3 linked regions of the Lytechinus pictus genome follow. The protein of the gene in region 2 binds, or shares a complex with, the protein of the main gene of each other region. Links are inferred from orthologs where the notes say so. Each region holds a gene or a part of one and is shown on either strand. Other genes may lie near its edges. The genes, in order: DPY30 domain-containing protein 1-like, nucleoside diphosphate kinase homolog 5-like and ropporin-1-like protein.

Evidence for each region.
Region 1: nucleoside diphosphate kinase homolog 5-like (region 2) and DPY30 domain-containing protein 1-like share a complex: the UniProt entries of both Homo sapiens proteins name them as parts of the axonemal radial spoke complex. The link is inferred for Lytechinus pictus from reciprocal best matches to the Homo sapiens genes NME5 and DYDC1.
Region 3: nucleoside diphosphate kinase homolog 5-like (region 2) and ropporin-1-like protein share a complex: the UniProt entries of both Homo sapiens proteins name them as parts of the axonemal radial spoke complex. The link is inferred for Lytechinus pictus from reciprocal best matches to the Homo sapiens genes NME5 and ROPN1L.

The regions. Positions count from the first base shown.
Region 1 is NC_087262.1:9,007,583-9,018,820, reverse strand, and holds the start of DPY30 domain-containing protein 1-like, read left to right. Parts: upstream 1-6,754; 5' UTR 6,755-6,916; intron 6,917-10,111; 5' UTR 10,112-10,131; coding exon 10,132-10,278; intron 10,279-10,909; coding exon 10,910-11,032; intron 11,033-11,238. UniProt on the Homo sapiens protein: Functions as part of axonemal radial spoke complexes that play an important part in the motility of sperm and cilia. Plays a crucial role during acrosome biogenesis.
Region 2 is NC_087262.1:20,225,275-20,236,294, reverse strand, and holds the start of nucleoside diphosphate kinase homolog 5-like, read right to left. Parts: upstream 4,884-11,020; 5' UTR 4,788-4,883; coding exon 4,641-4,787; intron 1-4,640. UniProt on the Homo sapiens protein: Functions as part of axonemal radial spoke complexes that play an important part in the motility of sperm and cilia. Does not seem to have nucleoside diphosphate kinase (NDPK) activity.
Region 3 is NC_087253.1:25,057,234-25,068,218, forward strand, and holds the start of ropporin-1-like protein, read left to right. Parts: upstream 1-6,340; 5' UTR 6,341-6,428; intron 6,429-7,731; 5' UTR 7,732-7,752; coding exon 7,753-7,892; intron 7,893-9,289; coding exon 9,290-9,413; intron 9,414-10,373; coding exon 10,374-10,535; intron 10,536-10,985. Other genes in the region: patatin-like phospholipase domain-containing protein 4, read left to right, coding at 192-386, 871-1,212, 2,512-2,577, 3,001-3,369. UniProt on the Homo sapiens protein: Functions as part of axonemal radial spoke complexes that play an important part in the motility of sperm and cilia. Important for male fertility.

The sequences.
Region 1 (11,238 bases), about 11 Mb from region 2:
TAATTAGCACATGTGCGATATGTAATATGCTATTTCTCTTAACCCAGAAAGAATGAAAACATAAATAAAATCATTTTTCTAAGCGGTCCTGTGACGAGGAATCGATTCATAACAATAATTTAAATATCTAAGTTATGCAATTATCGTAATCAGCCTAATTAACATAATGAGCTAATAAGCACAAGTGTAACATACACGTATTTGTGGATGTCTATCCAGATAATGTTGATCAACGAGGTCCGTCTGTGAGTGCTGGGGCTGGATTCTGGAGACTTTAATCTCTCTTTTTCTTATTTCCTTTTCTATTTTAATTTCCCCTATTTCCTTTTAATTTAACTGGTTCATGCTCAAGTTGTTATTTTGATTTTTAATGCTATGCAACTACAAGAATATTTATTAGGAGGCTGCACTCTACAAGCTCCGCTTTTTAGCAGCCTCCTCCATTTCCAACCTGATATGTAATAATCTTGAATATAATTTTTGTACAGGAATACTTGAAATATGTTTTGTTATTTATATGTTAAAATGTACAAAATAAACTGTATTTGTTGAAAATGGAAATAAACGAAATGAAATGAAATAAAATAATGCCCAGTATTTAGATAATGTAGCCCTCCTATGGTTTTGTTTTTATGGCGAAGAATCCATTTATGATATTATTTTTCAATTTTAACCAATGTTATCGCTGTAATTAGCATAATTAGCTTATTGCGCTAATTACCATATATGTGTGTAAGATAATATATATTCCTTTGCAATTTCATATCGAGAATGCCCGAAAACATGAATAATACAGCTATCCTATGGTTTTCTATGACGAGGATTCATTTATGACCTTATTTTCCCCTTTATACCGATGTAATTGTCGTAATTAGCATAATTAGTATAATACTTTAATTATGTGCAATATATATATTCCTTTGTCATTTTATATCAAGAATGCCCGAAAACTTGACAAAATATCCCATGGTTTTTTTATGACGAGGAATACATTTATGACAATATTTTCCCTTTTTTACCAATGTAATTGTTTAGTATAATTATTTGCATAATGCGCTAATTAACATATATGCTGTGTAATATATATTTTGCTTTGTCATTTTACGTTGAGAATGCCCGAAAGCATAAACAATACGGTTACACTTCGTAATTCCGAAGGTTCTTTATTCCGAAGGTTCGTAATTCCGAAACACGTAAATTGCCTATACCTCGATGTTCGTTAATCCGAAAACGTAAAAGGGTTCGTTAATCCGAACATTTGCGGCGTTATTCCGAAGGTTCGTTTTTCCGAAGGTTCGATAATCCGAAAACGAACTAAGGTTCGTTGTTCCGAAGGTTCGTTAATCCGAAAAACGAAATAAGGTTCGTTGTTCCGAAGGTTCGTTAGTCCGAAAACGAAATAAGGTTAGTTAATCATTTAGTTTTCGGACTAACGAACCTTCGGAATTACGAACCTCATCTCTTTTTCGGATTAACGAACCTTCGGAATTACGAGCCTCATTTCGTTTTCGGACTAACGAACCTTCGGAAATACGAACCATCGGAAATACGAACCTTCGGAATAACGAAGCTTCGGAATTACGAATGTATGCGAAACAATACAGCTATCCCAAAGTTTTCTATGATGAAGAATTCTTTTGTGACATTAGTTTTCCCTTTTAACCAATGTTATTGTTGTAATTAGCGTAATTAGCATAATGCACTAATTAACGTCTGCAATATATATATTTCTTTGTCAAAGTACTGTGTACATCGGCCTAAAAACATATAATAGTTCTTCTAATATTTTCTATGTTGAGGAATTAATTTATGACAATAATTTTCCTTTTTAACAAATGTCAATGTCTTAATTAGAATAACGCACTAATAACATCTTTATCCAATATATAAGTATATATCCCTTTGTTAGTTTATATCAAGAGTGCCTGAAAACATGAAAATACAGCTATCCTATGGTTTGTGGTAATTAAAATATAAGTGCAATTATTTCTTTGTCACTGTAGTTATTATCTCGCCTGCATAGCAAAACGATACTATATAGGCGCCGCTATTCCGACAGCGGCGGCAACGGCGGCGTCGTCAACATTGAAATTTAACCAAGGTTAAGTTTTTGAAATGTCGTCATAACTTAGAAAGTGTATGGACATAGTTCACGAAACTTAGACATAAGGATAATCAAGTAATGACATCCTGCCTGAGTTTAAGGCCACACGACCAAGGTCAAAGTCGCTTAGGGTCAATGAACTTTGGCCATGTTGGGGCTATTTGTGGAGTTGTCATCATAACTTGAAACTTATATCGATCTAGTTCATGAAGCTTGGACATAATTAATATCCCTGAAAATCATGTGCAAGTTTCAGGTCACATGACCACAGTCAAGGCCAAAGGTCATTTGGGTCAACCAACTTTGGTAATGTTGGGAGTATTTGTGGAATTGTCATCACTTTAAAAGTTTATGGATCTGCATGTAGCTCATGAAACTTCGACATAAGTGCAACCATGTAGGCCTATCCCTGAATATCCTGTGCGCATATCAGGTCACATGACCAAGATCAAATTGGTCATTAAGGTCTGTGAACTATGGCCGTGTTAGGGGTATTCGTTAACTTGGCATCATAACTTTAGAAAGTTCATGGATCTAATTCATCAAACACAGACATAAGGGTACATACATAAGTATGAATGAATGTTTTGGACATGAACGTGTTAGGTCACATGATCATGGTCAAATGCCATTTTGGGTCAATATTGAAATATGAATGTTTCCTATTGTGAATATTTTATTCAATAGCTGTTTTCATAGCCAAAATTGCTGCTATATAAAATCGCATAATGCAGGCGAGACTGCCAGATTCGTTCCACTTTAATTAGCTCATTACGCTAATTTAACATTAACATTGTTAAAAGCGAAATATAATGTTATAGATGAATTTCTTGTCATAGAAAACTATGAAATAGCCGTATAATTAGTGTTTTTTGGCATTCTCGATATAAAATGACAAAGGAATATATATTTATAGGTAATTATATTGCTCAGATATGTTAATTTGCACATCATGCTTAATTAAAACAATAATGTTTGTTAAATCGGAAAAATAATGTCACAAAAGAAATCATCATCATTGAAAACCATAGGATAGCTGTATTAACTTCTTTGAGGCATTCTCAATATAAAATGACAATGGAATATATATATTTCACATATGTATTAGCGCATTTGGCAAAATAAAAAAAAATTGAAAAAAATAATGTCACAAAAGAATTCCTCGTCATAGAAAATCATAGGATAGCTGTATTATTCATGTTTTCGGGCATTCTTGATATATAATGACAAAGGAATGTATATTCATATGTAATTTTATTGTTCATATATGTTAATAAGCTTATTATGCTAATAATAAATGAATTCCTCGTCATATGGAATAGTTGTATTATTCATGTTTTGGGGCATTCTCGATGTAAAATGACAAAGAAATACATTATATATATATATATATATTTATATATATCAAAGCTGGGGGCCCGGGTTCGATTCCCGGCAGAGACATTATTCGACATATCATTTTTTTTCCAAAAGGGTAGATAGCTCTAGGGAACCTTGATTTAAGCTACGCCTATACAATGTTCTCTTCATCCATTTCTTTCACAATATATATATATATATATATGTATACATATGCATGTATATATTGCACATTATGGTAATTAATGCATTATGTTAATTATTCTAATTAAGACATTGTCATTGGTTAAAAGGGAAAATCACTGTCATAAATGAATTCATCAACATCGAAATCATTAGAAGAGCTGTATTATATATGTTTTCAGGCCGTTGTAGACAGCACTTTGACGATTAAATCTACATATCACACATTATGTTAATTAGTGCATGCTAATTATGTTAATTACAGCTATTATATTGGTTAAAATTGAAAAATAATGTCATAAATGAATTCCTCGCCATAGAAAACCATAGGAGGGTTGCAGCAGCAGCATTACCTATACGTATTGGGCGTTTTCTCGATAGACATCCATAAATACGTATGTACACTTGTAAACGCTGATTAGCCCATTATGCTAATTTGGCTGATTACGATAATTGCATAACCTAAATATTTAAAAAAAATTATGTATCGATTCCTCGTCACGGGACTTCTTCGAAAAATGATATAATTTATTTTTTTAAAGTCTTTCTGATTTAAGAGAAGTAGCGTATTACATATATGCTAATTAGATGATTATGCTTATTAGTCTAATTAAAAAATTGCTCAAGGTTTCCAAGGTGGCAACTAAGCTGAATTTACTTCAATACCCATCTAGATTACAAATCAACAAAAAAACTTGTATTTAACAACTTTTCCAGGTCTTGTACTTGGCCTAAACATGAGACCGTCTCTGGACTATATATATGCGCTTAATAGTTGGAGAGAGGGGAAAATTTCAAAAAGATAATGTCACCTGACGTAAAACATAAACATGAACATATTCCAGTTTATCCTAGATTTTTACTGTCTTTCTCTATCCATAGTGTTTCGTATGGTTTCTGCGATAAGGAATGGTTTCATTAAATAGCAATAAGCATAAAAGAAAAAATTGTTTCCAATAAGTAAACATAATCAGGCCTATAGTTGCTTTTTTAAAATAAATATACAAATCAACATCGACAGTTACAAAATAATTACAGAAGCAAAGTAACAAATGTATTCATTTATATTCTAAATAGGGTGGTCTCTTCATTACATAAAGTATACACTGTTTTTCGAGAGAGCCCTGTACATACAAAAATACATATAACAATCATGAAACATTGACAATGAAGGATTAATTAAAAAGACAAACTACACGCTATGTAAAAGAATCGAAATCATGGGGGGGGGGGGAAGAAAGAAAATTATATACACAAAGTAACCGGGAGTTAAACATGAAACTTGAAGTTTGTTGGTGATTGGAGCCAATTCGAGCCAATCCGCATCACGCAAACGGATACATGGAGCTACTATACGTCGGAAGGTTAGACGTGCCCCCAGAAAACTAGATGAGAAGACGTGAAAAGATGACAAGAAGACGAGGAAAGAAGACAAAAAACGAGATCCTCAATCTTGTCAAGTCTACTTAATTAAGCGCGAATATAGACAAGAAGACAAGATACATTATCTCGTCATGTCGACTTATTTAGGATGAGAAGACTGATCTCGTCAACTGAAGTCGACTCAGGACGAGCAGATGAGAAGACAAGATCCTCAATCTCGTCAAGTCGACCTATTTAGGACGAGAAGACAAGGAGACAAGATCCTCAATCTCATTCGTTAAGCCGTGAGGGCCGGAGATGCTCTACCATAGGCGGATCCAGCCCCCCACTGGCTGAGCAAAAAAAAGAAGAAAGAAGGGGAAAGAAAGGGGGAGGCCGAGAAAAGGAAAAATAAGAGGAGGAAGCTAGTGAATAAAATAAGGTGAGGGGAAGACTGGAAAATTCGAAAAATCTTTTTCATATCACGATATAAATTTTTTGCTCGCGCTTCAAGTAGGGCTTATGAGATTACTAGTATGTTGTTTAATAAGAATAAAGCTAATTAAGAAGTGTCTGTTAGGACTACCCCTACAGAGAAATAAACAAAAGTCTCTTTGAGCGGCCAATCGGGGTAATATAGGTCAACAAAATGTTGGGCCCCTTTTCGGCGAAAGCTGGATTCGCCCCTGACTAGTTTAAATTCATCGTTAAAATTATATTAAGGACGTTCCACAGTTATGTTTGTGCGCATTATGATCTGCGCATAGTTTACACTCTGCGCGCTGACGTCACAATGGATGAACAGGTGATTAATTAGCTGCGGGTATGAGCTGATTTTTCTCATCTTCTGCACTTTAACTGCAGATCCGATGTGTTATTTCATGAAGCTATAAAGTGGAATTATTCCATGGACCATTCAAAAAAACATTCTCTACAATTTCAAAATACTTTACTCTGCAGTGCTGCCAAGAATCACGAATATTACCCCGAGTTTGAATAAATGGTAGAGTGGTTTTGATTTTTTCTTCACATAGATACAACGCATTCGGCGCATTTTTGGTGTTTTAAAAAGCACATTTGCTCTAATAAAAATGATGATAGTTTAAAAACAAGCACATGAACCCCTATTTTTTAATGTTTGTACCGCTTAGGTATACCTTCTTCTACAACTCTGCAAATTTTGGTGAAAATGACATGGATTTTGAATAAAGTGCAGCATTTATTGTACGTTTGTAGTTTGTAACTGAAATTTCACATTTTTTAGATTGGGATTTTGTTATCTTTTATGCAATTTTTAAGAAATGGCAGTGCTGTTAAACTTAAAATTGCAAACAAATAGCACTATAAATAGATTCTCCATTCTAACGATACAATTATTAACTCTCTTGCGAAATTTGATGACTTTTTCATGTATTTTGACTGAGTAATAGAGGTTTAAACTCATTGTAGTAATCTTGGGTGGTCTAAAAATGCCAAATTCTTTTGAATGCGCAATTTTTAAGAACATCAATTTGGGTGAACTTTGAAGCTCTATAGCAAAAAATCAAGCACATGGACCTATGTTAATTTTTGCATATTTCGAATATTAAGGTTCTAAAGTATCTATGTGCAAAGTTTGGTGAAAATGACATGGATTTCACTTTAACTGTGGAACGTCCTTAAACCGAAAGTGGAAAAATTATTGAAAGGTTACATCGAGAACAATAAATTACTAGCAATTTTGTCTCGAATTCCGCTTCAATGTTTACATACCGCCCTCTACGTTGGTTGGAAACGAGTAATTGTTGTTGTGATTACAGAAATTGTTTTGTCTTGGCAACGGAATATAAATCAAACCATAATTCCATCTTAGAAGTGATTATATCAAAGGGAAGCTATCATAAAACTGTGAAATATATTGTTTTGATTGTAAGTGTTTTCATTTTATAAAAAGTGTAAATTATTTTATTGTAGACGGTTCTTATACCGGAACATCAAAATAAAGCATTCGTTACTCGGCCCCATATGCGCAGTTTTGTGTAAGGTTGACTTGAAGCCTGTCGATCGTCGAGTCTAGTTCAATCCATCGTTCGATAAATATGACTGAGATAATTGTCTAGACTAGAGTAATCTAGAATTAGATCTAGGCCTATGCTAAGCCCTAATGTGAGACGGCTAGTTACATGTACATGATGTAGGTACTAACCCAGGCAACCGAGTTGATGGTCTATCAGTATCAGTATCAACAGATCAATGTGACATGTTTCCAAATTCCGCGGGAATAGACACTAATACGACAGAGAGTCAGAGTAAGACAGCTGGCACAGGCAGCCGTCTGTTTCGAGTTTTTTAACATTAATTTTTTTTTTTAAATTTCTCCTCTTACACAGACAGCTCTCTATCGTGCAGCCACCATTTAGGGGGTTAACAATGCAAAATCCCCCCAGACGGGGCTCGTCGATTTTTGTCTTTAATTTTATTTCATAAAATTTATTTCATTTAATTTTATTTCATAAAATTATATAAAAAGAACTAAATCTACGGTACCAAATTAAAGATTAATATTCCGTTTTGGCCTGTAATGCACCAAAACGGGGAAAAATAAACTCAAAAGGGGAAAAAACAGTGACTTACTTCCGCTCTCGCGCAAGTGCGCAACTTCACTTAGGCCCTACCTGTTTTATCCGAACTTAATACATAGTAAAACATACATGTAAACATATGGCCATGAGTCCCCTGTACAGATCGAGCTAGAACTTCGGTCTCTGTATTTGGTGAGTGGAGCCAACGGAGTTCAGTGGAACAACTAACATAACAGAGACCGAAGCTTTTGCTCTACTCCGGGAAGAGAACACAGACACAGTCCCTATGGGCGGCCAAAAGTGCCCAAATTAACGGTTTGAGAAATAAAGACATTTTCAGAAATATAGGCAGCCATCAGAGAAATAAAGACAACCTCATAAATATAGACAACCTCAGAATTAAAGAAAACTTCAGAAACATAAACAACAACAGAAATACAGACAACCGCAAAAGTAAACAAAATGACTGAATTATAGTCCATCGCGAATAGCGCGAGCTCGTCAAAAATAGAGAACACATAATTTATGTCAGAAATTCTGTAGAGCACAGAAATTCTGTAGAGCTCAGAAATAAAGTACAGCATGTCAAACAAACTTAATGAGAGGGCCTAATGATAGATTATTAATCTACGATATGGCTTCGTGCATTCAGTAAAGTTAACTACCACATGCACACGTACTATGCGAGCATGCAGTATGGTCACTAGCGTACCTAAGGGGGGGCAGGGGCAGACTCTCCCCCCCCCCTGACGAGTCACAAAGCAAAAAAAAAAGGAAGCGAAAAAAGGGAAAGAAAAAAGAAGAGGAAAAAGGAAAGAGAAAAAAAGGGGGAAGGGGAAAAAGAAGAAAGAGTTTAAGAGAAAGGGGAAAACAAAAACTGGACTGCAGACTGTCGGAAAAAATAATAAACTGTCGGGCACACGGGGCTGTTCCAACTGATTCGGTTTTCTAGTTCCACCATCTTTGTCCGGTAAATGTCAATTGAACTGTACACTTTTATCGGTAAATTGTGATTTTTACGCAATGCGACTTTTAGAGCTCTCTGTACCGATGGTGAGTACGGACTGGACTAGATTTCTACTAAGTACTTTCCCTGTGAAAGATCTAACCCTAAATCATGAAAATGGGCTAGAACTTCATTTTCCACATTTATAGAATATCAATTTCATTTTTAAACAAATGTTCATTAAATAAAAACGAGAAATATATTTTTAGAAGATGGGGAAAAAACTTGCCAATGTTTACATAGCCATGTTGCTTTCTTGTTAGTAGCTAAGCTGCAAATAGAGTCTGCCGCCCTCTTTAGGTGTCTCATAGCTTAGCTACTAACAAAGAAAGCAAGATTTGGCTACATAGATGTCGGCAAGTTTTTTCCTGTCTTCTCAAATATATTTCTAGAAATTTCTTAATGAATATTTGTTTAAAAATAAAATGGATATTATATAAATGTCGGAAATTAAGTTCTAGCCCATTTACTGTAAACGCTGTTATTTTCGCAGGATTAATAATTCATGCTTGGCGGCTTCAAAACATATTCGCGGGATCTTGAATTCACGCTGTACTCTCCATAATTACAAAGTCACTTCTTTCTTCCCCATCTGTGAATTGTTTTAATTAATATTCAGCAACAAAATTGCAACGAAATACAATAGTTACAAAAAAAACAAAAAACAGATCAATCGAGAGTCTAAGTGCAAGCAAGACAACCACAGCAAGTAAACCATCTAAGATCTAGATGCCCAAAGTTATTGTTTCAGACTAGTTAAGCAGGGGAGCGTTTCATGAAAGGACTTGACAGATGTTTTATCCGACAACTCCCATTTTATCCGACAGTTACCATAGTAACAGTGCTTCTCAGCCAATCAAAATCCAGAAAAGTTGTCAGATCTGACAACTTGTCGGACAAAAATGTTGATGAAACGCCCCCCAGATGTTGTATCGTGGCCTAACTTACGCTATAAACTACTAACTACTAAGTCTAACCTTAATAATGGATCATGGAGTACTTCGATGGCCTGGTTGAAGCTCGGAAGCGATGCAAAGGTACCGTTGCAGAGCGCTCTGTTCGATCCTAGCTGGAGGATGTATACTGCCGGGGTATGTCATGTCCACAGGCCAGGTCATATACTCTTTCAGCGATGGATCCATTAGAAGCAAACTCAAACAACCACTCTCTACCTAAACTGTGTCTCCTATTTATACCCTGTGCCTGACTAGGAGTTACTGCTATGTCACTGCCAAGCATCAGTGAGCAAGGCATGACATTACAATAGACCCCTATAAATTGCCCAATGCAGCAGCTTAAGACTTACATAATGTTAATAGAAAGGGATGCATTGTCATTAACATACTTGTATCCAAGAGAGGGGAATGTCTATAGTCATAGTAGGGGCGGTGTTCACACAGCATACAATCTAGATTAAAGGAAGTGTTCAAATTAGTGCCCGTCTCTACACAGATTTCTGAAAACCTTTTCAGTAATATTATGAGTGTTGTTGTTACTGTTGGATCTAAATCCCACTTCTTTTTCTCTCCTTTACAGAGTTTAAGTCATCTTCAGACATGGATACAGAATACCTAAAGAAACATCTCGGAGATTGCCTTACAAGAGCGCTGGCAGAGGTAGCCGAGAAAAGACCGCTTGACCCTATTGAATACATAGCACAATGGCTCTATAAATACAAGGAGAATGAAATCTATGCAAATGAGGTATGGAAACATTTATTGTTTGTATTTATGTTAAAGAAATTACGGTATGTAAATTGCGCATTCTGACAGACAACACATATTGAAGCTTTTTAAAAAATAGTTTTGCTAAACATAAAATCTTATGTGTAAAAATTTGTAAGTATAGGTCTAGTGACTGTTATTTCAGTGATTTATTATATGTGAAACTTGGAAATAGACCTTGTGATCTGACAACATGACAGCCCATATGCCTGCAATATGATAAGGGCCCAAAAGGATTTTGAAAAAGAAAATTCAATTAATACTGAAAGAGGGTGCCAGATACCTTTTAAATTTTCACAAAGACTAATGCTGCAGTCACATGATTCCCCCTGTGGCCGCCTTACGGCTAGTCAAAAATTGCCGTTTCATCTAATTTGATTCAAACCACCTTCATATAGTTGATATTAAAAAATGCTTAAACAGCTGTTTTCTTCTTGCCGTATGGCAGCCGTAGGGGAAATGTGACTGCAGCATAATGGTTGGACAGAAAATATTCAAAGGCCATAACTAGATGTTTGTTAGATTAGACAACCGAGATGATACCTCAGTACAATTCACAATTGACACTTTAACCAAACTTTAGACTTGATTTTTCTTTCTTAATTTGCAGCAAGCAGACTTAGCTGTAAGACTGGAAGAGGAAAGGATAGAGGCAGAGAAAGAGAAGGAGAGACAAGAGAAGATGAGATTAGAAGCAGAAAGATTAGCACAAGAAGAGAGAGAAGCCAAAGAGGTAAGAACACCCAACTGTGGATGGTGGATAGCTTCAAGTATGGTGTTGAATGCTAGTGTTGGCATCGGAGAAAATAGAACACCAAGAACAAAACCCAACTTTGAGTGTAACAGGTTATTGGATTAATGTCAAAGGTGTTGGGCTATCAACATTGCAGTTAGCTCTATTTTTCGAACCAAAGCTTGGTTATGAAAACCAAACACAAG
Region 2 (11,020 bases):
TACATTTTCTAGTTCCTGGTATCATGATTATGGATGTAATCATTTAAGGTGTACCAGTTAGAAAATTTTTGACTTTTTGTATATATTTACATAAATTATGCAAGTTGCAGGTCACGTGGTTGATAAATTGTTGACACAAGCATTAGCTCTATGATCACCTTCTCAATGACTCTTAAGACAAGCTTCTGTAACAATAAAATTATTGTATTTACTAGATAATTTGAACAACTTGAACAAATTGTGGCAATATTATTTAATAAGTTATATATCAGTGATAATGGGGTACTCCTGGCTGAAAATGATATGATTTGAACAAAGAAAACATTAAAAATTTGATCAAAATCGGATAAGGAATAACAAAATTATCGCTGCATTTTAAAGAATGATTTGCATTATTCTGGTGAAACAGGTCTGGCGTGTCTACATGGATATTCAATAAGCAAGCTTATGATGTCACATCCTCACTTTTATTATATGAAATTAGATTGATTAATTTTTAAACGTTAAATTCAATAACCCCGCTATTTGATGTCAGATTTTAATGAAATAAGCACTTTGATATGTGAATGTTACTATATCAAAGTGCTTATTTCATTAAATATTTTCATTAAATATTTTCATCCCGGAGCATCCCTTTAAATGATTTATTTATTATTTCTGTTTTCTCAAGAAAGAGTGGTCTCTTTAATAAACAAGTGGAATGCCTCTGGCCGTCTCACCTGCATCACGCGATTCAATATAGCAGCAGTGCTGATTTTGAAAACTACTATAACTCGCACAAGATGTTCAGTGATACTTGGTTACTCTTATTTCCACGTTTTATGAACTAGACCAATACACTTAAATAGAGATATGATGGCAATTCAACAAATACCCCCAACGTGGCCAAAGTTCTTTGACCTTACATGACCTTTGACCTTGATCATGTGACCTGAAACTCGCACAGGATGTTCAGTGATACTTGATTACTATTATGTCCAAGTTTTATGAACTAGACCAACACACTTTCAAATTTATGGCTGTAATTCAACAAATACCCCAATTTGGCCAAAGTTCATTGACCCTAAATGACCTTTGACCTTGATCATGTGACCTGAAACTTGCACAGGATGTTCAGTAATACTTGATAACTATTATGTCCAAGTTTCATGAATCAGATCCATAAACTTTCAAAGTTATGATGGTAATTCAACAGATACCCCCAATTCGGCCAAAGTTCATTGACCCTAAATGACCTTTGACCTTGGTCATGTGACGTGAAACTCATGCAGGATGTTCAGTGATACTTGATTAACCTTATGTATAAGTTTCATGAACTAGGTCCATATATTTTCTAAGTTATGATGACATTTCAAAAACTTAACCTTAGGTTAAGATTTTGATGTTGATTCCCCCAACATGGTCTAAGTTCATTGACCCTAAATGACCTTTGACCTTGGTCATGTGACATGAAACTCAGGCAGGATGTTCAGTAATACTTGATTAACCTTATGGCCAAGTTTCATGAACTAGGTCCATATACTTTCTAAGTTATGCTGTCATTTCAAAAACTTAACCTCAGGTTAAGATTTGGTGTTGACGCCGCCGTCGCCGCCGCCGCCGCCGCCGTCGCCGTCGGAAAAGCGGCGCCTATAGTCTCACTCTGCTATGCAGGTGAGACAAAAAAACTGAGTTAAGTAGAGAGCCCTGTAATGATACAACAAGTGGAACGTCACTGGCAGTCTTACCTGACACCTGCATTACACGATTTAATATAGCAGCAGTGCCCGGGAGCAGTGCTGACTTTGAAAACTACAATAAAATAGTTATTCAAAATTAGTTATTCAACAAATACCCCCACATGGCCAAAGTTCATTGACATTGAATGACCTTTGACCTTGGTCATGTGACCTGAAACTCGCTGCAGGATGTTCAGTGATACTTGATTAATCTTATGTCCAAGTTTCATGAACTATGTCCAAATACTTTCTAAGTTATGCTGTCATTTCAGAAACTTATTCGGTTAAGATTTGATGTTGACGCTGCCGTCGGAAAAGCGGCGCCTATAGTCTCACTCTGCTATCCAGGTGAGACAAAAATCATGATACAGTGATGAAAAATAAAGTAAAATAAATTTAATAAAAAAGAAAAACCACATGCTATATAAAAGAAATGAAATTCAAAATCATAAATTCGTCATTTTTATTGAATGAAGAATTTAATTTATTGATAATTGGAAAAAATATTACCCCTATTTTCTTTCAATATAACCAAAATACGTGTAGGGCCTAGTGTGATTTTCATCACATAACATGATTTAGAACAAAAATCAAGCCATAATTTTGGGTTATCATGTGGGACGGAATCTTCATGACTGCATTCGTCGGACGGAATTTTTCTCTTAAATCCATCTCTGCCGGCTTTTCACCTTCCCTCTCCATCATCCTCATCCCTATCATCATCCTCGTCCCTATCATCATCCCCATGGGCGGAAATCTGTCCCCAGGGGGGACCTGGGGCTGGAAAATTTGACAAGCATTAAAAAAAAAGGTTATCGCCCAAAATGTAGGGTCATTTTATAACCCAAAAATAATTGACAAGAAAAAAAAGGGGGTTTTCACAAATATAAGGTCATTAATTTAGTCCTAAATACATGTATTATTTCAATTGTGAATGATGTATTATTTTGTTCTCCATCATACAAGAAGAAAAATAGTAGGGTGGACATTTGATATTGTGTCCCTTTACTATTTTTGGTAGGGGGACACGTCCCCCCCTGGGATTTCCTCCCATAATCATCCCCATCCCTCACACCCTTGTCCCTCTCACCATCTCCATGCACCCCTCTCATCAAGAGTCATCATCCCCATCCCTCTTATCATTGCCATCCCTCACCTCCTCGTCCCTCTCATCATCGAGGCCCATCCCTCATCATCGCCATCCCTCACATCCTCGTCCGTTTCATCATCCTCATCTCCATCTCTTTCATTACCTTTATCCCTCTCATCACCCCCCCCCCCTTCTCATTAAGAGTCATCAAAAATTATCATCCCTCTCATCATCACCATCTCTCACCTCCTCGTCCCTCTCATCATCAAGGCCCACCCCTCATCATCGCCATCCCTCACATCCTCGCCCCTCTCACCATCTCCAAAACTCGGCTCTCTACACCAGGGAAACTCAATATAAAAAATAAAAATGAAATTGGCATGCCCACACAGATACACCTAGAACATTTTCACATTTCGGGGGCAGGAGTGAAGAGGCTCCGAGCCCCCATCCACGTAAAAGTATTTTTTGTGCGACTCAAACATCCACACCACAGTCACACTCAAAGTCAAAGAAATTGAAGCATATTGATTATTACAACTTAAAACTCAGCTCTCTACACCAGGGACACTCAACATAAAAAAATAAAATAAAATGAAAAAAAAAATAGGCCTAAAAATAATCAATTTGAAGTTAAAAATTAAGCCCCCAAATAAACATTTATTATTGATGGCTACCCTCAGCCCGGCATACCCACACATCTACACTGCGAATATTTTTTCACATTTCGGGGGCAGGAGTGAAATCGCCCCGAGCCCCCACACTGATCGTAAAAGTATTTTTTGTGCGACTCAAACATCCACACCACAGTCACACTCAGTCAAAGAAATTGAAGTATATTAAATTATTATCTTAAAGCTCTACACCAGGGAAAATAAAAATAGAAAAAATAAAAAAAATATATAGGCTTATAAATATATACAAAAAAAAGGCAGAACCTATACGACACTGCCAAGCTTCAAGCTCTAGTTCACTCTCTCACTCAGTCAAGCTCAGCTCTTTGACTGCGCACGCCCACTTCCATTGGGGATTCGGGCTGAATCCCACCCCGCCAGTTTAGGCGGCCGAGCTACGTAGAATTGCGATGAAGAGCAGCGGACCGTTCATCGGTTGTTCGCTTCTTGCGACCAGAGAGAAAAGGTGAAAAACTTTAACAAAATCGTGCAAATGCACCAAATTTTATTCTTGTGATGAGAAAATGGAGTTAATGGAATACAAGAATGTCCATCTTCTGCGATAAAAGTGGTAACTTGAGGATAAATGATCACAAAATCAAGTCAGTTGTTGAGCGGGGCCGAGCCGAGCACCGACACAGTTAATACACGCGCGCCTATGGGAATCGCGAGCTGTCGAAAAACGCCTAAAATTACACTTTTTTTTTATTTCAGCGAAAAAAAAGTAATAGAAAGTGAAGAACATTAGTCATTACCATCAGACCATATCTCTAGAAAATCTTTACAAGAAATTACGAAATGACGGAAAAATAGACGCAGATTTGTGAAAAAAAAATCTCGTAATGGGTGGGACAACTCGGCCCGCGGTCCGAGATGTCCCGTGGTCCGAGTTGACCCGACAACTAAAGACAAGGAATAGGGGCCTAGGGCTATTCCTACCTAGAACTTAACTAGGTTAAGGCCTAGTTTAAAGAAACAAACTGAGTATTTGATGGAAAATTATTCGAAGAAGGTTTGTTAAATGCAATTCGACAAAACATGATTGAAGACAAACCAACAAAAGGACACACACAGTCACTCAGCTCAATCACGACACAGCAACCACAGGGAACATGACACATTCTGCAGTATCTGGGACTGTGATATTGATAATTTTACCTGCAAAATAGTGAAACCCGACTGCAGGATAATTTCCTCGATTTCGACTGCTCTGTCGATTGCATCTGGTTTTATAAGTGCAAGAGTCCTTTCTACATAGACCTGAGGAGGCTCCATCATTCTGTTCTCTATGTCGTTTTGAGGCATTTTGGTGATTTTTCAGAGAATATTAGCCCACGAAATCTCGATGTCAGCTGCTTCTGTTGCCAAGTAACAAAATATAAAGCGCCCTCTGCGTTCATTAAGTTCGAGGTGATTATCGTACAAGGACAAGGTTGATAGCATAGAGATATACTATAGTATCCCGTAATTAGTAACCAACTGGAATAAAATTATTGGAAATGGTTTTTTGACTGATTTGAGTAGGTATGGGTGTCAACATTTACCAAAAAAAAGTTAGGAGGAATACGGGTTGGGGAAAGTGCTTTTTTTCAAGGTCAAAGGTCGATGACCTTTTTAAATATACTGTATCATGGTATCTCCCAGATAAAATATTACAGGTTGGTGATCATAGTGTCAAAATGCACAGATTCTTACAAGAAGATCAAATAAAATCAAATCAAGTACCTACAATGCTCATTCACCCATGAAATTCAAGGTCAAAGCCTTTCAAAGTTCAATGACCTTTATTACATTATATACCTTATACGGTATAATGGTATCTCTGAGATGAAAAGGTGCAGGTTGGTGATCTAGGTGTCAAAATGCAGAGGTTCTTATAGGAAGATCAAATAAAATCAAATTAATTACCCAGAATGCACATTAAACAATAAAATTCAAGGTCAAAGCCTTTCAAAGGTCAATTACCTTTTTTCTACATTATATACCATATTCGGTATAATGCTATCTCTCAGATGAAAAGGCGCAGGTTGGTGATCTTGGTGTCAAAATGCACAGATTCTTACAGGAAGGTCAAATAAAATAAAATTAATCACCTAGAATGCATACTAACCCATAAAGTTCAAGGTCAAAGGTCAGTGACCTTTTTACATAGGCTATATATCGTATAAAGGTATCTTTGAGATAAAATGCTGCATGTTGGTGATTTTGATGTCAAAAAGCAATTTTTGCAAGAAGATAAAAAAAACTAAAATAATCATACAGAATTATCCAATATCCAAAGTCAAAGGTCAAAAGTTGATAAATATTTATATATCCATGCATGATTCCCCCAAAAAAGAAATTAATCCATTATATTCACATTTTATTTGTGAATAATAGAAAGAAAGATAACTATTTGTAATGAACATTTGGAAGTCTAATAATTTCACTCTGAAAGAAATAAGGATATAAAATGGCCATGGAAAATATATTTAGGAGTTAAAGGTCAATCAACTATGTCAATAGTGTCAGGGAATTTAAGTAAATAGGTCGATATAACGTGATTGTGGCACGTAGGTATAGTGATTCAGATGGGAAAAAGACTGACCTGCGTGGAAAAAGAACACAAATTTAATAGTTGAATCCTTGACCAATGATGATGTCAAAATACAAGTTCGAGGTAAAATTGGATCAAATAGCACTTTTTTTAATAATATACTGTAATGCATTGACAAAAGTGTAAAAAAAAGCATTTAGATATGCATTTTATAAATCTAAATCAAGGTACTAATTTCTCTGTAGCAATAGGTCACTAACCTCAAATGCTACAATCAATACTATAACACTATAACTTAATCTGTAAATGGAAAGGATAGGCCTAAGTCTTATGACAAGCATCATCCGAGAACATTTTCATATAGCCAGGGACAATGACGAAGAATTAAAATAAGGCAATCATTAGAGCTGCAGCTTTTTTTGTCATAGATGAAGTTAAGTGTCTCAACTTCAGCAAAGAGTAATTGAACTCTTGAAAACCTTCTGACATTTTCAAGACTTTGATCTGGCCCATTCAATGAAAGCCTAACGTTCTGTCAAGGGATATCAGACCAGGATCTATATTATTACTGATAATTGCACATCTTGATTCTCAAGAACTGGAAGTGGTGCTGTAGGAGTTTTGTTAGGTCGATGGATGTGTACTTGTAAGCTATTATCTCCTTTTGAATTGCATTGTTATATGCCACATTTGTACATGATAACAATCAGTTGTTCTGGACCAAAAACATGATCCTTGTACAAACTGATACCTAGTAGAAATAGCATCATGGGTGACGTACGGCAGAGAGCAGATATGAAGTTTTGTCTTGCAGCATTAGCATCACAAGATATTCTGGCAGCTCGCAATGAACTGATGAAAGATACTAATTATACGGGAATTCACCTTTGTTGAAGTTGATATATATATAATTTACTACATGTATATGACAGAAGCTGCAGCTCTAATGATGGCCTTCATTTCATCATCATCATCATCCCTCTGCTGTTTGGAAATGCTCTCAGAAGATGCTAGCTGTGACATGAGAGTTAGACCTGTCCTATCCATTTTCAGAAGATTAAGCTAATAGTTTATAGTATTTATTATAGCATTGATGTGAGTGGCCTATCGCTGGAGAGAAAAGACACGACAACATTGGTTTAGATATAATGATGCATTAAATGTTGCTACTTAAGATAAAAATCATTTCAAATTATATACTTGATTTCATTTATTTTTTCAGTGCTTTTGGCAATGCATCGCAGTATATGAAAAAGTGTTATTTGGTTATCAACTTTTTAAACTTAATTTCCACTGATATTTTGGAAAGGGCTCATTGACCTCTGACCCCTAAATACATTCTCCATGGCCTTCATTATTTCAGACCGAAATTATGAAACCTCCATGTTTTCATTACAAATTAGCCATGGTTATTTACATTATTCAGATATAAAATATGAACACAAAAGATATTGTTTTTGGTTATTTTTATATCATATAGATTATATATTTCCTCTGATCTAGGATTTCAAGGGTGAAAGTTTATTCTTTATACTTATTTTAGTGTTGTTTAATCTTCTTGTACAAGTCTTTGGATTTTGGCACCAAGATCACCAACCTGCGGTGTTTTATCTCAGAGATACCATTATTATTATCTAATGTTAAAAAGGACATTGACCTTTGTCCTTGAATTTTATGGGTGAATGTGCATTCTCGATGCATAATTTTATTTTATCTTCCTGTAAGAATATGCGTGTTTTGACACCAAGAACAGCTGCACCGTTTTACCTTAGAGATACATATGTAATATAAAAGGTCATTGACCTTTGGCCTTAAATTTTATGCGTGAATGTGCATTCTAGGTACTTAATTTTATTCCATTTGATCTTCTGGAAAGAATCTATGCATTTTGACACCATGATCACCAACCTGTGCTTTTTCATCTCAGGGATACCATTATACAGTATGGTATATAATGTAAATAGGTCATTGACCTTTGAAAAGCTTTGACCTTGAATTTTATTGGTGAATGTGCATTCTAGGTACTTAAGTTTATTTTATTTGATCTTCTTGTAAGAATCTGTACATTTTGATACCATGATCACCAGCATGTACCTTATCATCTCAGAGATACCATTATACGGTATGGTATATAATGTAAAAAAGGTCATTGACTTTTTGAAAGGCTTTGATCTTGAATTTTATTGGTGAATGTGCATTCTAGGTACTTAAGTTTATTCTATTTGATATTCTGGTAAGAATTTGTGCATTTTGACACCATTATCACCAACCTGCGCCTTTCCATCTCAGAGATACGAAAAGGTCATTGACCTTTGACCTTGAAAAAAAGCACTTTCCCCAACCCGTATTCCTCCTAACTTTTTTTTGGTAAATGTTGACACCCATACCTACTCAAATCAGTCAAAAAACCATTTCCAATAATTTTATTCCAGATTGGCTCTTTTGGGGTCTAATTTAGGGATACTAGTATCCCGTAATTAGTAACCAACTGGAATAAAATTATTGGAAATGGTTTTTTGACTGATTTGAGTAGGTATGGGTGTCAACATTTACCAAAAAAAAGTTAGGAGGAATACGGGTTGGGGAAAGTGCTTTTTTTCAAGGTCAAAGGTCGATGACCTTTTTAAATATACTGTATCATGGTATCTCCCAGATAAAATATTACAGGTTGGTGATCATAGTGTCAAAATGCACAGATTCTTACAAGAAGATCAAATAAAATCAAATCAAGTACCTACAATGCTCATTCACCCATGAAATTCAAGGTCAAAGCCTTTCAAAGTTCAATGACCTTTATTACATTATATACCTTATACGGTATAATGGTATCTCTGAGATGAAAAGGTGCAGGTTGGTGATCTAGGTGTCAAAATGCAGAGGTTCTTATAGGAAGATCAAATAAAATCAAATTAATTACCCAGAATGCACATTAAACAATAAAATTCAAGGTCAAAGCCTTTCAAAGGTCAATTACCTTTTTTCTACATTATATACCATATTCGGTATAATGCTATCTCTCAGATGAAAAGGCGCAGGTTGGTGATCTTGGTGTCAAAATGCACAGATTCTTACAGGAAGGTCAAATAAAATAAAATTAATCACCTAGAATGCATACTAACCCATAAAGTTCAAGGTCAAAGGTCAGTGACCTTTTTACATAGGCTATATATCGTATAAAGGTATCTTTGAGATAAAATGCTGCATGTTGGTGATTTTGATGTCAAAAAGCAATTTTTGCAAGAAGATAAAAAAAACTAAAATAATCATACAGAATTATCCAATATCCAAAGTCAAAGGTCAAAAGTTGATAAATATTTATATATCCATGCATGATTCCCCCAAAAAAGAAATTAATCCATTATATTCACATTTTATTTGTGAATAATAGAAAGAAAGATAACTATTTGTAATGAACATTTGGAAGTCTAATAATTTCACTCTGAAAGAAATAAGGATATAAAATGGCCATGGAAAATATATTTAGGAGTTAAAGGTCAATCAACTATGTCAATAGTGTCAGGGAATTTAAGTAAATAGGTCGATATAACGTGATTGTGGCACGTAGGTATAGTGATTCAGATGGGAAAAAGACTGACCTGCGTGGAAAAAGAACACAAATTTAATAGTTGAATCCTTGACCAATGATGATGTCAAAATACAAGTTCGAGGTAAAATTGGATCAAATAGCACTTTTTTTAATAATATACTGTAATGCATTGACAAAAGTGTAAAAAAAAGCATTTAGATATGCATTTTATAAATCTAAATCAAGGTACTAATTTCTCTGTAGCAATAGGTCACTAACCTCAAATGCTACAATCAATACTATAACACTATAACTTAATCTGTAAATGGAAAGGATAGGCCTAAGTCTTATGACAAGCATCATCCGAGAACATTTTCATATAGCCAGGGACAATGACGAAGAATTAAAATAAGGCAATCATTAGAGCTGCAGCTTTTTTTGTCATAGATGAAGTTAAGTGTCTCAACTTCAGCAAAGAGTAATTGAACTCTTGAAAACCTTCTGACATTTTCAAGACTTTGATCTGGCCCATTCAATGAAAGCCTAACGTTCTGTCAAGGGATATCAGACCAGGATCTATATTATTACTGATAATTGCACATCTTGATTCTCAAGAACTGGAAGTGGTGCTGTAGGAGTTTTGTTAGGTCGATGGATGTGTACTTGTAAGCTATTATCTCCTTTTGAATTGCATTGTTATATGCCACATTTGTACATGATAACAATCAGTTGTTCTGGACCAAAAACATGATCCTTGTACAAACTGATACCTAGTAGAAATAGCATCATGGGTGACGTACGGCAGAGAGCAGATATGAAGTTTTGTCTTGCAGCATTAGCATCACAAGATATTCTGGCAGCTCGCAATGAACTGATGAAAGATACTAATTATACGGGAATTCACCTTTGTTGAAGTTGATATATATATAATTTACTACATGTATATGACAGAAGCTGCAGCTCTAATGATGGCCTTCATTTCATCATCATCATCATCCCTCTGCTGTTTGGAAATGCTCTCAGAAGATGCTAGCTGTGACATGAGAGTTAGACCTGTCCTATCCATTTTCAGAAGATTAAGCTAATAGTTTATAGTATTTATTATAGCATTGATGTGAGTGGCCTATCGCTGGAGAGAAAAGACACGACAACATTGGTTTAGATATAATGATGCATTAAATGTTGCTACTTAAGATAAAAATCATTTCAAATTATATACTTGATTTCATTTATTTTTTCAGTGCTTTTGGCAATGCATCGCAGTATATGAAAAAGTGTTATTTGGTTATCAACTTTTTAAACTTAATTTCCACTGATATTTTGGAAAGGGCTCATTGACCTCTGACCCCTAAATACATTCTCCATGGCCTTCATTATTTCAGACCGAAATTATGAAACCTCCATGTTTTCATTACAAATTAGCCATGGTTATTTACATTATTCAGATATAAAATATGAACACAAAAGATATTGTTT
Region 3 (10,985 bases), on a different chromosome or scaffold from region 2:
GATGATGATGATGGTGATGATGATGATGATGATGATGATAATGCTGATCATGATGGTGATGATAAAAATGGTGATGATGTTGATGATGAGGATAGTGATGATGATGATGATGATGATGATATGAATATGTATAGGTCCATAACGTAACAAAAGCTATTATTCTTTCTCCCCACAGGTACACCTCACCCATTATGACGTCACATGTATCTCCTCCGTTCAACCTGTCCTTCACTGAAGCGTCCTTCTTTGGGCTGAGCAACCTCGGTGTGTCACAATGCCTGCTCGACCACGGATCCGTCGTCCTCTCCGACATGCAGGCGATAGGTGGGACGTCGTCCAGTGCCATCATCGCTGCTGTCATTTTAACGGCTCCTGAAAAGTTGCAGGTAGGCCTAAATAATTATCACGATTATTATAAATCAAACTATAGATGTCGGAGTCATGGAGCTGGGGCATTAAATTTACTAAGGGCAAGATCCCCCCCCCCTTCCGTTCCGGTTTTATATTCACTTTCCACAACTTATTAAAACTTTGACTAATAAAATCATTTTCCCAAATGTGTAGGCCTATCATTCTACCTCCCATTCTGTCCCTTTTTTCTCACCCTCTACCCATTCCCTCTCCTCACTTCCCTTATTTCGTTTACCACTTAAAAAAAAAAATCACTTTGCATTTTTGTTAGATTTTATTAATCAATAGAGGCCTTAATATTCAGAATTCGAATTCTGTTCGTCAACCATCTTCATTTTCTTTATTTTTTGACGAAAATATTAGAACTTTGTCGTTAGATTTTGCCGTTTTAATATGTAATTTTACTTATACTATGTATACTAGATTGATTCATTATTTCGTGTTTTTTTTCTCACTTAGGATTTACTCTGTGGCCTATACAGTATCGTCGACGATATTTCGTCTCTCCCATACGGTGCCATCACACCAGGCTTTGATTTAATTGGTCGTCTGCGCGCGCTCCTTACCCAGCTTCTACCAATGAACGCACACGAATTAGCATCTCATAAATTATTCATCCAGGCCACCGAGCTGCGATTGGTCGATAAGTACGACCCGCTGACCGTTCATGACGTCGATCAAGGGACGAGCTCGTGCGTGAGAACCAAGGGACCGAAAGTATTTGAGGTTGGTGATCGGGTTTGGAGCTTAGGGTCCGAGGTTCAGATCTCAAGTTATAGTACCAGAGAAGAGCTCATTGAAGTAAGTGATAATTCCTCTTATGTCTCCGAATTTCATTTAGATCTCCCTATACCCACTTAAATATTCCATTTCATATAGATCTGATATTTCCCCTTTCAAATTCTCTCTTTTTCTTTTCCTTATACACTGTTATATATAAGAATTGTAAGAGCAATTACATTAATTTATTTAGCTATTTCCTCTTTAAGGATATTCATAGCATATAATGATTAAGAATATTCCAGAATGTCTCAGTGAAGCTTTGTTAGGCATGCTATTTAATGAGATAGAATAATCTTTGTTATTACTGGAATGTATTAAGATAGACATTAGGCGGCCTGCAGTGAAAAGGACAATAGGATTAGCTATGTTGTTTACATTGTTAATTTCACTGAGGTCATTCAAGAGTCTAAAATTAGACTGCTCTAGAAATTCGCAGAATGTTCTTTTTATAGACAATACTAGAAGCTTCCAGAATAGTGAATTTGTATATAAGCTGACAGTTTCTTCAAGGACATCATCACATCAGATCAGAACTCAGAGTTTCACACCAGACTTTATGTCGGAGTATAGTTTATTTCCAACTGGAATATAACATTTATCTTCTATGGAATTATCTGCACGCCATCAATGAATTGTTTGCAGTTATTTTGAGAGAGTGTATGGTTAATTATTTCCTGTAATAAAAAAAAGGAAATCAAATTTGAAACTACATTTTCATTGTTATATGTTGCGGTATCGTAACAACACAAGTAACCAATTATTTATTCTTTCATTTTTCAAGGGGATCCACACTTTACAAGCATACTACCTTTTTAAAAATATACCTTATCGTCTTCAATTCTTCTTGCAAAGTCCAATAATTATTTTTTTGTGTGTAATAATGTTCATTCGTGAATTTGTATTTGGTTTATGGTCCTTTGTATCATGTTTGAATTGGGAAAGAAAATATAGTCTTGAACCCAGGCGTGGTTCCTGTTAAAATGGGGGCATGTGTCCCTTAAACATTTTTTTTTCTTCTTTTCAAAGTGATCATAACGTGAAAATGCTGATAACATTTAATTTGTTGTTGTCATTTTTTGGATGGGGTGGGGAGGGGAAAAAGTGCCCCCTCCCTGTCATAATTCCTGGATCATCTACACTGATATATCAATTCCTACTATATATTTTTTTCCTCGCTCTTTCTTCCTTGAAAAAAATTTATCGTTATCGTTATCTCTCACTAATCGAGCACCTGCTTGTTTCGTATAATACAGTAGTGAATATAGGCATTTAACATCTTTTTAAACGTTTGCTTTTGTTTATTTTATTTCGTTACAGGTTATCCTTGGGAGTGTCTTCGTTCCTTGGTTCACAACGTGGACACCGCCCTCTATAGACGGCAAGGTAGGATTTTTTTTTTTAACTCTTGTTATTATTATCAGCATCCAAGTGATCTCATTTGACACCCGTTTGGGGGATAAAGTTGTCTTTCATCTCATATTGCTATAATACCACCTCTTTGTTTTAGATAATTCAAGTCATTTCTTACAACGGGGCGATATATTGACAAACACCTCCAACCCAAGAAATAAAAGAAGAACTCCACAGCAAATAATATCGATTTGATAGTTTTGAAAATTGAATGTTAAGTATCATGTTGCTCTGATAAACTCAAGGTTCAACCCCCCCCCACCTCCATATTGTTAAAGATTTGTTTTTTCATTTTGCTTAATCTATTGTAAGGAATTAACTTTTCATCATATCTGGACCCGTCAGTTGACTAATAGTTTTTTGCGTGTTCAACTGTATTACCCCTCCCCCTTGCAGTTCCTTGGTGACGTCACCCTGTCCCGGAAGGAGAACCTCTCTACCGACGTGACCTTTCAATTCCCATCAGGCAATCTGATCAAGATCTCGCCAAATCCGAAAAACCGCCTCCGGATGCGGGACAAGATCGCTTGCGGTTGGGTGGACACAACCGGTCAGCGGTTCGACATCAGCGCGCTGCAGATGTACCGGATTGGGGATGGGCTTTTCCCGCCCCCAAAGGCCTATCTTGAGACCTATTTTGCGGACGGGTACGAAGATGCGACTAGGTTTTTGAAGTTGTATCATATTTACGAGGAGAACGGGAAAGGTTATAAACCTCATCGGGACTCGTATGCTGCTATTCATTCGGTTGAGGATCTTCGGTGAGGACAAATCACCATGGATACAACAACCATCGAATCGTCAGGGTTTGGATTTCCGGTTATAGTCAGATCCGGGTGTCACGAGCTTTCATGGAATAATTTTCTGATACCAGACTTTAGGAAAAGCTTCGGAAATGCCTATAAAAGAGATATATATTGGCCCGTCATTGGGGAAAATGAAATAGGTTTACCATCGAGAAATTAGGCCTATATAATCCTCATTACCAGGTCCCTCGATCGCCGGTAGACCTTAAGCCGTCGGTCCTCTGATTACTTGCTTACAAGCATTATGCTAATTTCTTGGCAATCAGGTAAAACATCACTAACCACCAATTATTGGGCGAAAGCTCTGCTCCTTCTGGCAACTGTCATGCATGGTGGAAAAAGCATTTACCATAAGGCAATTTCCTGTAGCATATGTCGTCTGCTGGTCGTAAATCTCGTTCTACTCTGTCAGATTTGAAATTAGGAGATGATATTCGAGCAATAAGATAATAAAGTATAATTTTTACGAATTAAGTATGCTGGTTATTGTGAATCTAAATTTAAAAAAATCCCCTATAAGACCATTTCTACAATGAAAATTAATTTGTTTTTACTGTACACTTTCCGACACTTTGTAAAGTCGATCCCCCCTTCCTTTAATGTATGCCATGTTTTGTGCAAATAAAAACATAATTTTTATGATAATGATTGAATTGTGACTATATTTTTAGATTATCTATTTTCATTTATTTTCTCATTGGGGTTGACGTTGATCGATCAATATGGCATTTTTCAATCCCATTCACATTTTGATTTTCTTATGTCTTTATATTGTAACTATTTATATTTGTATGTATGTATTTTGTTTGTACTAATATATTTTTTTTTACTCAAGATGTGGAAAATAAATTGAATTGAATTGAATTGAAAGGAGAAAAGGGGGCGACAGGTTGACAGAGACAGAAAGAATGTGAGAGAGGGAGAGAAAGAGAGAGAGGGGAGAGAAGGAGAGGACCAAGGAAGAGAGGGGGAGAGCTAGGGAAAGGTTACAAAAGGGGAGAGATAAACAGACAGACAGGAAGAGTGAGAGAGAGAGTAGGGGGCGGGGGAGAGAGAGAGGGAAAGGTTACAAAAGGTGAGAGATAAACAGACAGACAGGGAGAGTGAGGGGCGAGGAAGAGAGAGAGAGGGGGGGGAGAAGGTTAGAAAGGGGGATATTAGAATGTGCATGTGAGGATGGGTGTGTCCGTGAGAGAGGTCGGGGAAAAAATGAGAGAGGGAAAGGTTAGAACAGAGAAAAGTGAGAGATAGAGTTAAAATAAGAGCGAGGGAGAGAGGGCGGATGAATAGAAAGAGAGGAGGGGGGGGGGGAGGTTAGAAAAGAGAGAGAGAGGGAGAGTGTGAGAGGGGGATCGGCCAGAGAGGTGAGGGGAAGACAGGATGGGTTTATATGGACATTATAGACCAAACCAAGATTTCCATCATAGTTGTTTTAAATTTATTTATCGGGGAAGGGCAAACCTACTAAATGGGAGCGTCTATTTTTTTTCAACAATAAAATTATATAATTAAACATACCCTCTTTTCTTCTTCTTCTTCTAATTTTTATTATTATTATTATTGTTATTATTATCATTTATTTATTCATTCATTTCATTCTTTTTTTCTTATTTTTCTCCTCTATGTATAAGTTGGGTAGTCACATGTGCTCTGCCCCATTTTAGCACCATTCCTGCCTATTATGCACTGACTCAGACAAAGTCAAGCCTTAAAAAACATTTGCCTACCAAATGTTCAAAAGAATGTCACAATAATAATGGCAATAATTATAATTAATATGTTAAGAAAGCCATATTCAGTGCTAAATCAATATATTTATAAAAAATAAAAACGGAGAATAGAAAATATGGAGAAAGATGGTGCTTTCCCACACCATCTTTATATGCATAAGTAAACAGATCAATATTGCTATTAAAGGTCATGTCCACCCCAGAAAAATGTTGATTTGAATAAATAGAGAAAAATCAAACTAGCAAAAAACTGGAAATTTCATCAAAATTTGATGTAAAAAAAGAAAGTTATGACACTTTAAAGTTTTGCTTATTTTTCACAAAACAGTGATATGCACAACCCAAATGAGAAAGTCGATGATGTCCCTCACTTACTATTTCTTTTGTTTTTTATTGTTTGAATTATACAATATTTCATTTTTTATTGATTTGACAATAAGGACCAACTTGACTGAATCATATAGTATTAAACAATGCTCGTTCAACATGTTCAGGAAGGAATTAATCGTTGTTTCACTTGACAATAAGGAGAAAAAATAGAATATTCCCTATTTCATATAATAAAATACAAAAGAAATAGTGAGTGGATGACGTCATCAGTCTCCTCTTTTGCATACCCGCCAGGATGTGCATATAACTGTTTTGTGATATATTAAGCAAAACTTTAAAATATCATAACTTTCTTATTTTACATCCGATTTCGATGAAATTTTAGCGTTATGCTTGTTGGATTTTTCTCTTTTTTTTAATCAACTTTTTGTTTGGGTGGACTTGTCCTTTAATTTAGGACGAAAATTATTACAGAAAATAAGACCGTTCTGTTTATTGCACCAATCTTCAGTTTTGCCCCGTTCACATTTTCTGCACCCGGCCGGCCTCCCGACAAACATATTTTGTAGGATCTAGCTTCCTCCCGGGGGGCGCATTAGGGTTAGTTTGGGGGCGATGATTTAATTTTCAGTTGAAGTTCATTAAAATATATTAATTTTGCAGGCCTATATGACCAAGCCCACGCAATTCCTTCCCCCCCTTTTTTTCTTCTCCCTTCTCTTTTTACTATTTTCAAAGTCGCCCTGCCCAACACCCCCCCCCTTCCGATACTTATTTTGTCCATTAGCCACGGAAAAATATCCGTGGGCGCGCGGCGGCGAGATACTTTTTAGATCGAAAAGAAAAAGTTTGAGACACTGACGATTCTGCGCATGCGTGAAATTCTATGTTGCCTTGTCAACGCTGGTCAATCAAGAATCTTTTTCCAATCTAGAATCCTACATATTTCTTCCGTCACGTAAGTATATTTTAGGAATTTGTTCTAAAAATAGTAAGAAATAATAAGTCTTCTCATTCCTAGGTTTCTGTATGTTTGCTTTATTGCAAAAAGTTGCATTTTATGTGTGATTAGTTTTCCCAGTTTCGAGTAAATTTATTTGTGTAGTCCCATACATAGAATTTCGTGTTGGATTTTTGACCCAGAATGATTTCTATTGTGTCGGTTTGTTTTTCTCTTGTAAAATGTAAGTTAAGACTAAGTGATATTCATATGTATCTTTAACGATTCTTATGTTTGTTGTGTTGGTGAGTTAATTCATGACAAAATCTGGTCGTGAGTCAGTGGAGTTCGACGTCTAAACTAAAAGTAAAACGTCTCACTCTCAAGAACAGAGATGTGAGAAACAGAAAAGAAAGAGAGAAAATTGCAAAATGAGTTGGCTCTTCTCCCCCTTGTTCTCTTTCGTCATGCAAATCTTTTTTACCTCTCCAGTCTTGTTCTTGTCCATTTTATTTATCTTCCTCCTGCACCTAGATCTATTCCTTTTTTACTTTCTCTTTTTCTTCCCATTTCTCAAAGTAGGGTGTCTGGAGAAAAAAAATATTTTTCTTATTTCAAGAAAATATCACATTTTCTTTGTGAATTTGAGGGGAAATGACCTTCAGACTGACAGAAATGTAACATTTTTGAAAAAAATCAAATTATTGGATGCAAAAAAGAAGAATGAAATTAGGTAAATTTTCAGCATTTCTCTGCCATAGACTGTGTAGTTAAGAAATGGACACACACAAATCCGAATTTTTAGCTTCCGAGAGCTGTTATAAATTTATTATTAATGCCAAAAACTTGTCCATAAAGAGTCCAATAGGATTTTTTATGCTCTATCTGATGGTATGATTTTTATAAAGATTTGGAAACCAGATCACAATGAAAAATTGCGACAAAGTGAAAAAAATTGTGCAAAACAGAAATTTCATTTTCCCATAGAAAACGCATGGAGAAATGGCAATCTCAACACACACAAAAATAAGGGTTTGCAATTTATCTCTAAATCCTTATTTAAAATGATCCTATAAACTTGTCCTTACTGTCAAAAGAAGCCCCTGAATTTTCTCTTTCCATACATGCCAAACACAAGTTAATAATCAATTCAGATCACATTTTTCTAGTAGCCTGAACTTCCCCGAAAAAAATGTGCCATATTTTCCCCTAAATCAGCCTGTTTTATGCTGACACTTTTCAGTGTGGCTTCAGACACCCTACTCAAAGACTCAAGCCTCCCCACTTGATTAAAAAAATTCCCCTTTCTCTCATTCTACAGACTCGCAAAATAAGAATCAAGATGCCAGGAGTAGGTGATGACGTACCTATGTACTGCTCACAGCAGATAAACATTCCCCCTGACCTACCTGATATCATGAAGCAGTTCACCAAGTCTGCCATCAGGACCCAGCCGGCTGATGTCCTTCAGTGGTCAGCAGCGTAAGTCCAAATCAGTGGCCTGTTTCGTAAAAATTTTTATGAAAAATTTGGGCAACAACAGATACTGAAATCCTTCCATATAATAGTAAATTTGTTACAGGAAAAGTGCATATGTTTTGATAACATTTCTTTATGAAATCCGACCCAGGATTTTAGGATGGGGCAGTGTCTGGATACTTATATTGATGTCATTTTTTTATAGCAGTAAATTCTTGACATGCATGCATTAATATAAATAATTCTAATAGTTTATATTTGTAATGTTGTCTTACATTACATTGCTTTCAAACAATTTATGAAATATTAATCACGACGTTCCCAGGATTTAATGCTCAATTAACTCCATCACAGAAAAATGTTGATTTGAATAAATGGAGAAAAATCAAACTTGCATAACATTGAAAATTTCATCAAAATCGGATGTAAAATAAGAAAGTTATGACACTTTAAACTTTTGTTATTTTTCATAAAAGATTGATATGCACAACTCGGTGACATATATGCAAATGAGACAAACAATGATGTCCCTCACTCACTATTTTTTTTGTTTTTTACTGTTTGAATTATACAATATTTTATTTTTTACAGATTTGACAATAAGGACCAACTTGACTGAACCATATAGTATTAAACAAGGCCAACTCCTCATGTTCAGGGAGGAATTAATCATTCTTTCACTTGACAAATGACAATGAGGAGAAAATAAAAATATTTCATATGATAACATACAAAAGAAATAGGAGTGGATGATGTCATCAGTCTCCTCATTTGCATACAAACCAGGATGTGCATATAACTGTTTTGTAAAATTATGCAAAACTTTAAAATCTAATAACTTTCTTAATTTACATCTGATTTTGATGAAATTTTCAGTGTTATGCTTGTTGGATTTTTCTCTTTTTATTATAAAAAATTAACTGTTTGTTGGGGTAGACTTGTCCTCTAAAACAACCTGTCTTGACATACGACAACTGGGTACTTCTGAAATGGGGTAACAATTATGAAATTAAGTTCTTTCAATTTAAAAACAGCATATTGTGAGCAGAAAACCATTTGCCTAAAATTCCCAAAATGTTTGTTTTGCTGAGCAATAACCAAAGTTATTTTCTTGGCAGCCCCACTTTTGACCCAGTTTAAATTGCAGTTAACCCGGAATCGTTGTCGTTACCCAGTGTCTTAAAAAGATTTTTAGCTTTTAATTTATTGGCTACCCAGTATCCACAAGGTTTGCAAGACTGAGATAATTGATTCATACTTTCAGTAAAACCAGAGCTTAGAATACAGCCTTTTGTCCTCATAGACTTGTCCTCATTTATGAATATTTAGTTGTTGTTACAGATAGCTTTTCCCCTTAGATTTCCGCATGAAAAAAACATTTGTGTGTTCCTATTTTGCAGATATTTTCATGCCCTTGCCAATGGGGAGACACCCCCAGTGAAGGAAAGGCTTGAGATGCCCATGGCCACACAGAAAACAGACACTGGACTAACACCAGGAATCCTCTCAGTGCTTAACAGACAGGTATGTTCCCAAGGCTATTTTTTTTAAAATCATTATAGATGGCAATGTCATCAATATTCAAATCTTAACCAAGGTTAAGTTGTTTAAATGTCATATCTCACAAAGTATATGGACCTAGTTCATTAAACTTGGACATATTGGTATTGAAGTTTCACTGACCATTTGGCATCAGTTTAGTTGTTTAGATAGATATACCCCTTTGTGTTTCTCTAATATAATCATTTTCAATAGTATGAAATATAAAGCAAACTATCTCTTTTGATTACAGTAGATGCCTAAGACAAATGATCACTTCTGTGCCAATATCAATGTATATGAGATCTTTCCTCAATTTTGCTTTGAAAAGATTCATGTAGCTCCAGCTAGGGAGTATTTCATGAAAGGTTTTGTCAGTGATATTCATTTATTTGCTCTTAGCCAATCAGATGCAAGGATTTCAGAAACCTATAACAATAGGTAGTCAATGAAAATCATTGACTATTGACTATATATGTTTCATGAAAATGCTCGAAAGAATTGATAGTTTGTCCTCTTACCTACACAAATGAGAGCGAAGTTAGCTCAGTCGATAAAGGGTCTGACCGTCGAACCAAATGTTGTAGGTTTGAGTCCACCCCGGGCGGATTACTGAAGCCTGCGTTGTTTGTGAATGTAGCTCCACTGTTCCATAGATCCAGGCTGTGTTATAGTGGAAAATATTCTGTCTCTTGGATAGGGCATTAGATTGAGGCCCCCTGTAGAGGAGAGTTGCCACCTTCGCATGTTATAAACCCACTGCACTATTGGTATAAGAGTAGGGCGAAACCCAGTGTAGTGGTTCACCTGCACTCCCCCAATCAGTTATATCAGGAGAGACCTGCGGGTCACAGTAATTCAGTTCGCTTTTCGCCTCCCATGCACAGGTGATGCCAAACAAATGATAATAACATTTGCATACGATTTGTTTTTTTCATCCCTCAGCTTGGTCCTAAGAAGAAAATCTCACTGGAAGAACTTGAACAGAAATGGAAGGATAACTGTCTCCCTAAGGAGAGAATGTTCAGCTTGATTCAGATTGGTAGCTTCGGGGATGAGATCGAATGGCCAAAGTTCTTTGCCCTTGCCTGCTCAGCTCTCGCAGGGGTAAGTTTTGTTGTTCTTTTTAAGCCTCAGGACATGCTGGATGTAATGCATCAAAAAGGAATTGTTTTGATGATGAGATGATGATGATCCACATCATTTATATTGCATCATATTTCTGTTGAAACATTCATAGGCACAGGCTCATCCAATTAAGCTAATTGCTAAAAGTGGGATATCTTAAGTCATGCTTCTGTAACAATTGTTCCTTTTCAATCTTCCATGTTCTGTGACTAACCTTTCTCTAATCGTAAATGTAAACTAGTTGGATGTCTCACAAAACTTCAAAAAGTTAAATTCCAATTCAAGCGCAGTTCCTTTGATAAATAAAATATAACAGATTTTTTATTCAGTCGCAACTCGGCTTTCTTGTAACACCCCATTAAGCTTGATTTGGGGACTTTGCTTGATTTGGAATGGAACTCGAGTCTCTTGCAAACTCTGTAAAACTCC